Xenopus tropicalis: one gene and its partner. The protein of the gene in region 2 purifies or fractionates together with the protein of the main gene of each other region. This does not show direct contact. Links are inferred from orthologs where the notes say so. Each region holds a gene or a part of one and is shown on either strand. Other genes may lie near its edges.

Region 1 (3,655 bases), on a different chromosome or scaffold from region 2:
CAGCTGTGGTAATGCTATGGCGGTCAGTGGCAGAAATGGAAGCTGTTGTGCTGGCTGACTTATTTAACTCTGTTGAAGTCACTTTTGGATCAGTGGTTAACGGCCTCCCCAAAGGAGAAGTAAAAGTATGTGCATGCAGTTCTGTAGGTGCTATAATGCTAGGTAGGCATCTTTCCTGCAGGCAGGGTGGCAGCATGGGAAGAGTCAATGTTGACGTTACTCCAAATGTAGTTGGTAAGGTAGCTACACCAAGAGGTTGCCCACAGTTTGGAGGGGGGATGTAAACCAAGGGTTGGCTTGGGGATAGGACTGCTCCAGGTGTAAAGGACAGCGGAAGTTTCTGCACATTTGGGACCTGAGTGGTAGAAAAACATATTCTACTCATAGCAAAAGGAGTCAGAGTGCCAAAACTAGAAGAGACAACAGTGTGTGAAGCCTCCATTTGCTGACCTACTGATTGTAAGCCAGCAGCCAGAACATTTTTTTGCAGCCCAGAATGATCTGCATCAGCAGGCAAAGAAGATTTCTCTGGAACAGGAGCCCTAGCAGACTCTGTTCTTTTACTGTCTGGAGTTGAAGTTGCTTGGATGGAGATATCCAACATGTTGGTAACTTGCTTGCTGTCTGATGGCAACGTATTATCATGGACCTTGGGTACCACTGTGTCTCCTGAAGTTAATATAGAATCTGGGGGCTTCTCCTCTAGTCTCTGCCCAGTTTCCACTGCACCCCCATCTTCCTGAAGCATCAGAGCATCACTTTGTTTGGCTCCTGACGTGAACTCCACCTTATGTAAAAAAAAAAACAAAAAAAAGTCAGTGACTACATTTAAGAAATATAAAACAGTGTCCATCCAGTAGTTAAAGGACACATTTCAAATGCTAGAGTCACCAGGCACCAGAGTCAGTTACCTTATGTAAAAAAAAAACAAAAAAAAGTCAGTGACTACATTTAAGAAATATAAAACAGTGTCCATCCAGTAGTTAAAGGACACATTTCAAATGCCAGAGCCACCAGGGCAAAGAATAGAAAAGGACTAGCAAACAATACTTCTAATAGCAATTATATATACAAATAAGTAAATAAAATTGCAAATTTGTAAAGAATGTTTATTGCAAAGTTGCTTAGAATTATGTTTTTGTTATTAGGCAAAAGAATCTCTGCTATAGTGGGAGACTAACCGCTCTGAAATGACTTTCAGCCGACAACAACAGGAGTGGCCGGTGGAAATCCCTTTGCATCACTTCATTTTCTGAAGTCACGCAAAAGTTGCCTGCAGGAGGATAGATCTCTGCTACCTCAGACAACTAACTGCTTTAAAACGCCTTTCCACCAGCAACAATAGGGGTCACCGGTGGAAAGGCCTACCCATTGCTTCGGCTTTCCAAAGACGCACAACGTTTCCTCCTGCAAGCAACTTTGTGCAACTTCGGAAAACCAAAGAAATGCGTAGGCCTTTTCACCGGCAAATCCTATTGTTGCCGGTGGAAAGGCATTCTAGAATGGTTAGTCACCCCCCCCAGTAGGAGAGATCTATCACGCGCAACTATCTCACTCCATGAGACATTAGCCTAAAACATGAAATGGCAAATGTTTTATTTCAAAATACAAATAGAAGCATTTAACTGCATAGTTCATCCACTGACAAAGTAGGCAGGCTGTGCTTAACCCCACAAATTACTTACAAAGTGGTCTTTCTATCCAATACTAATTGACAAGGTTTCTGCAAACTCACCTTGGATAAGAAGCTGTTTACACAATGATCTTCAGACCCCCGGTGCTGGGAACAGCTGGTTTTAGACTCCTCATCAGATAGTGATGTTCTCCTGTCCAAGGGCAAGGCAGAGAATTATAGTGGGTGTTGGCTGAGTAACTGGACTTCATTCAGTTTATAAGTACTCAGCTCATGCCACTGCAAACCTAGAATTATTAAAAGGTGCAGCACCACTCCTATTAGTTGTATTTAATTACATATACCTTACTCATTTATGTACTTATATTTTTAGATTTAATAAGGGATGTTACCTGTCCTCGTTAATGCCGCACATGCGCACACGGTCCACACTGGTCCAGTTGTGCACACCGCTGTAAAGCGGGGCGGCCGATAGCATGGCAGGCGCTCACGCCCAAGAAGCTATGAGAGGTGACCACAGATCTTCTGGTTGTGTCTTCTGTGTTCTATAGGAGATTTACCTGGTGGCAAACAGAATACATACCAATCACTCAAGAGATGTATTTGCATAAATACTAGACTTTAAGTGTAAAACATGCTGGGAAAAGCCAATATGATCCACTGCTGAAAATTAGTGACATATTATAACTGAAGGTAATAATTGCATAAGAAAAATTGCCTTCAAACTCTGTTACCAATGGGGCTATGGATATTTTTGCACCAGGAAAAGACTGGCATACTGTAACATTGTGGAAACTGGTCAAAACAAACTAAACAAAGATTCATTATAGTAGAAGAAATATAAATAAAGGGTCTACCAAGAAGGTTTCAGGCAGGCTCTACAACTTTGTAGGATGTGTTGGATCACATAAACATGCTATGGTATATGTCCTTTAGAGCTGCTATTTTAAACTAAGTCTTAAAGTGTTGCTCACAGTTCAGCTACAGAGTTCTGGGTACTTCAAAGCAAACTGGACGCTACTGTGCATTATGCATTATGGCAGTCCCCCTCGTCTAACACCACCAAATGGAAGAATAATAGGTAATAATGAATAAATATTTGACAAACAAATAAGCAGTTCCATTTTTCAAAAAAAACATTTTTTGTTGATTAGATGAGAACACTTAAATCCTTAAAAAGGAACATAAAATGCTGCCATAGTAACACCATTTTCTAAATGTTCTGTTTAATATACATTTTATGGATTCAGAAGTTGGAAATATGGTAAGCCCATTCATCTTACTCCAAAAGGGATTGATCTTGTAAATACCTTCCTACTCCATCACCCAAAACAGAACAGTGGGTCATTCAGTATTCCTGATGCTAATTACAATGCAAAAAATAGATTCCACTCATCACCAACACCAAGTCAACTGTTTTACTGTCAAACATGGAAAACATGGGTTACCAGAACTGCAGTATGCTACTAAAGTTACACAGGATGTTTTTGGTTTAATACAAAGGGAACATGCACTCACTGTCCAGTCATTTTTTAACTGGTCAAAACTCTAAGTGATCGGTCCTGTTCGATTACAGACCTACTAAAAGAGTTCAGTTGTTACAGACCTCTAATTAGAGAGCATGGGACTTCCAATTACTGCTTAAAATACAGTACCATACCATATTTGTTTTCTTCTGACATAAGCCATTTAGGATTTACCCTGCTATTTTAACAGCAGAACCTAAGTCCTCCTAATTTGTTTACCTACAATTATGTTCTGAAAACCAAAGAAATTATAGTATGATTGAATCTTTTTGGCAGTGAAGACAGCATTTTAAAAATGACTTTTTGAAAAGTTTGCATAGATTTAGACCAAATAAATCTGTTATGGTAATGTTATAATATAGAACCTTACTAGGTTGATTTTCCCATTTTTCAGCAAATTTGATATTTTCATATTCAGGTTTTGGCAGGTTTTGGAAGATCACATTGCTCCATTATAACGTTTTCCTGCATTATACACTTTTGTGCAACTTACATG
Region 2 (4,274 bases):
GCTGTTTTCATCATTTTTGAAAACTACTCCTGCTGTCACTTCTTAGCAAGCGGATAGCCAAACTAAATAATGGGGCAGTTGGTAGGTCAGCCAGTGTATAGGCACTGACACTGAAACAATGGAGCTTAATTTAAAAGTTTAAAACTATCAGATGCATTTCAACAATAAGGACACCTTTTTCTGAGAAACCAATAAATGTAACTGCCCTTTCCTTAATATCCCTTTTGCCAAAAGGGATATTTTGCCTTTTGACAAAGTCTATTTTTACCATCAGATAACAGCCCTAGCCACAGGGGAGATACCTCTGGCTTAAAGGAACAGTAACACCAAAAAATGCAAGAGCTTTAAAGTAATAAAAATATAATGCACTGTTGCCCTGCACTGGTAAAACTGGTGTGTTTGCTACAGTAACACTACTATAATTTATATAGTAAGCTGCTGTGTAGCCACGGGGGCAGCCATTCAAGCTGGAAAAAAGGCACAGGTTACATAGCAGATAACAGATAAAACACTATTGTATTCTACAGAACTTATCTGTTATCTGCTATGTGCTGGTGCCTTTTCTCCTTTGAATGGCTGCCCCCATGGCTACATAGCAGCTTATTTATATAAATTATAGTAGACTTTCTGAAGTAAACACACAACTTTTACCAGTGCAGGGCAGCAGCACATTATATTTTGGCTACTTTTATTCATTTTTTGGTGTTACTGTTCCTTTAAAGGAAAAGCATACCCCAGAACAATGTAGGTCTCTTTAAAAAAAAAAAAACCTAAGAGATTATATATATATATATATATATATATATATATATATATATAGTGAACCCAGGGTGGCACTCTGCTTCAGCTCTTAGCTCCGGTGCAAGGTAAATGATTTAAATATCCAAAAAAGACCAGCAGCACCGAGTTATATTCCAAAATCAATCAATTGTGGCTGTTTATGCGTTTTTAATACACAATTGTTTTTGGAATATAACTCGGTGTTGCTGGTCTTTTTTGGATATATAAATAAACTTAAACACAACCAGCACCAAGGGTCTTATAGTTCAAACAATCTCAAGTGTATTGCATGTATAACAGACACTTTCGAAAAAAGTCCGAAAAGGGACTGAAACGTTGGTTATACATGCAATACACTTGAGATTGTTTGAACTATAAGACCCTTGGTGCTGGTTGTGTTTTATTTTGTATTCTGTGCACAAGGGTGGCTATCTAATTGCATTTTGGAGTGAGGTGCTGTCGTGAGGACTTCTTATATATTTATTAAAAAAAACAGCTAACATATAAAACTCTACTTTATCTAAATAAACCATTTTTAGAAAAATAACCTTTTTTAGTAGTATGTGTCATTCCAAAATAGAAAACTGGAATTTTAAGTACTAAGGGCTACCACCACACCAGATTATATGATTTTCATGATTCATGGGGCACACATACATCATACCAGCCAATTAACAGAAGTTCTGTCTTTTACTACCACACTACTTCCTGTTAAAGTTAGAGATGCAATATTTTTGGCCAGGTGATCTCTGAGGGAGCACACAGACCATCACAAAACGGCAGCTTAAGGTAAAAGGGGTAATATTTACTGATATATATGCTCCAGATTGGAAATATTCTTAAATAGGCCACTTAAATACCCAACAAATACTTTTCATCATATTATTCTGAAGGTATAGTTTTCCTTGTGTCAGGACAACTGAAAGTGATGCTGTTTTTTATTATGTGGTGTTATGTAGGAAAAGCATCTTGTTGCCGTTTCACTAAATATTTTTGTCTTTGCTGGAGAACTAAAGTAAAAATATAATTTTAATCTCTAACCTGCTGCCCTGCACTGGTGTTTGTCTTCATTAGAAAGCACACTGTCCCAGACTACTTGACAGTTGCCTCCATTTTCTTGCCTGTTTCCCAGCATCCGCTGCAGCTCCCTGGAAAGGGGTGATTACTGTACTGTATATGCACCCAACATAATTGGCACAGAGGATTGGGACTACACACTCTGCAGTCCAGTGCGTTTTCCAAAGACAGGGGTAGGGGCAGGGGTAACAGCATAGCCATTTGAATGACTTTAGTTCTCCTGTAATATGTCACAATTACAGGAGAACTAAAGTGATTCTGTAATATATCACAATTACTATACTTGCAGGGATTCGTTAACCATTTGTGCGCTGGTGTTTTGCTTGCAATGTGTTCACATCCGAGCTGTGTGTTTATGTTCCGTGCAGAAGGTGTGCTTGTTTGTTTCAGACAAACGGATGTGTTGTTATTGTGTAGCAGCAGCAGCAATGTTACTACAGGATAGGAAGTGCGGCATGTGAGGCAAGTGCGGTATTGTGAGAATTGTGAGGCAAGTGCGGTATTGTGGGGACTGGCTAAGAAGACAATGTCAGTAAGTGAGGAGGCTGTGCTGTTATTGTGTGGCGGGCTCGCTCACCGGGTAGAGGTTCCCTTGCGTACATCGCACATCAGGCACTTGAAGGCCTCGGCGCTGTTCTTAAAAGTGCACACGCTACAGTCCCAGTATCCTTCGTCTGATGAAGGCTTCGGCTGCCTCTTCGGCCTGGGGGAAGAGGAAATTGTTAGAGACAAGGGCATACACGCTGACAAGGCGGCCTGTTCCCCTAGCCCCGGCCTCGGGCGCTTCTAACACAGTGAAAAGGAGATTGCCTAGGCAATCCTCGCAGCCTCTCACCAGCTTCTACTTCCTTTTTTGCTTTAGCCGTGCTCTTACCTGGTCGGACTCTTCTTGTCTCCCATGCTGCTTCAGAGGAAGCTGAGCGCAGGCCGAGCGGGGAGAGAGCCCGGGCTATGAGGCGGGAGTGGGCGCCTACACCGACCGCGATCAACCGCAGCCAGCTGTCCACCGCAACACGTGACCTGGCGCGACCAATAACAGGCCGACAAAGCAATACCAGAGCCGCTTGGAAAACTAAAGCGACTTTGCTTGATGTATGTGCGGAGAAGAGGCCGTAAGGGGCTGCCTTATGGTCGGCATTACTATGGAAAAGAAAGCGCACATGAAAAAGTCCGAGCATAAAGGAAATCTGCCCGGGGATACAAGGAAATGCGCAGGGCAAATGTAGGCGCACGTAGCGTGTGATGGAGGAAGCGCTGGCAAACACCGCTGGTTGTCTCATAATCAACACAAACGACTGTAGCTGAAAGGACCGTGGCTCTTCTTCTGTCTCTACCTCAGTAATGGAGTTAAAGAATACTGAGCCAAAGCAATGCAAGGCTAAGGCAGCCGGGCCTCTCAGCTAAACAGCAAACTTAGAGGAGTTGTGTATCCGCATGTTTAACACAGACGCATTCAACGGGGCTTGTACTCAACATACTTTTCCCAGTTGTTTTAATTAAGCGATATTGTTGCCATGTATTACACAATAGGGCAATAACTAAACTAAAAGCAGTTTCACTTTACAACTTCCTGTGGTTCTCCTAAGCATCTGGTGAGGGTGGTGAATAAGTCAGTAAAAGAGAAAAATGCAGCTTTAAATCACTAGTCCCCCAATCAGAAAGCCTCACAGAAACTGTAGCTATTTGATTATGGGTGGGGGTTGTTTATACAATGCTCAATAGCTATAAACTTATTACAGGGGGAAGGAACTAAAGGTAAAATCATAATTATGATATGTGCCTAATAACAGAAAAATAAATATATGCTTTCAAGGGACATTATACAACATTGCTAAAAAGAACTTAAAATGTTTTGGGAGACATCAGAATAATAATGAGAAAAGGAATAATGGTAAGGTCTTAATAGGGGACCTGTCACCTTAAGAAATAATTCCAAATTCTTTTGTCTTATTTGAGCAAAATAAACTTTACATTTTCTTTCATTCATTCTTACAATTTACAGTCACAAGCACAGGCACAATTTTGTGGACATTTTTATTAAGGGAAACTTTGTATCACCTTTAAAATCTTGTGTATGTGCCAGAATTGGGGACCTGATGCCAATGCACAGACACAATTATAGACAGTTATTTGAAAGGGAAAATGTGAGGAGGGCATTGACATTGGAATTGGCATTGATTTGGGAGTACAGAATGGAAAGTAAAAGTGATTTTGTCAGATTATATATTTTGTAAAATACCATCACTTTAATAACTGTAATGGCGCTTCTGCAATATACCAATCATCTCTGTGCATGATAGGTTTTAAAGTTATTTGTAAATGTTATTGCAATTGAAATATTTGTTTGTTGAACTTTTTCTTCTTTGGTTTTGACTCTTCAAAAAATAAAAAAAATCAGATTTCCTGTAGATGTTAAT

The links.
Region 1: the proteins of yaf2 (region 2) and bcorl1 purify together in Homo sapiens (affinity purification with mass spectrometry; 5 studies listed by BioGRID and IntAct, counting the BioPlex papers as one, with this or other methods). This does not show direct contact. The link is inferred for Xenopus tropicalis from reciprocal best matches to the Homo sapiens genes YAF2 and BCORL1.

The regions. Positions count from the first base shown.
Region 1 is NC_030684.2:55,013,114-55,016,768, forward strand, and holds part of bcorl1 (BCL-6 corepressor-like protein 1), read right to left. Parts: intron 2,194-3,655; 5' UTR 2,112-2,193; coding exon 2,026-2,111; intron 1,827-2,025; coding exon 1,736-1,826; intron 788-1,735; coding exon 1-787. UniProt on the Homo sapiens protein: Transcriptional corepressor. May specifically inhibit gene expression when recruited to promoter regions by sequence-specific DNA-binding proteins such as BCL6.
Region 2 is NC_030679.2:64,862,214-64,866,487, reverse strand, and holds the start of yaf2 (YY1-associated factor 2), read right to left. Parts: upstream 2,853-4,274; 5' UTR 2,758-2,852; coding exon 2,732-2,757; intron 2,561-2,731; coding exon 2,435-2,560; intron 1-2,434. UniProt on the Homo sapiens protein: Binds to MYC and inhibits MYC-mediated transactivation. Also binds to MYCN and enhances MYCN-dependent transcriptional activation. Increases calpain 2-mediated proteolysis of YY1 in vitro.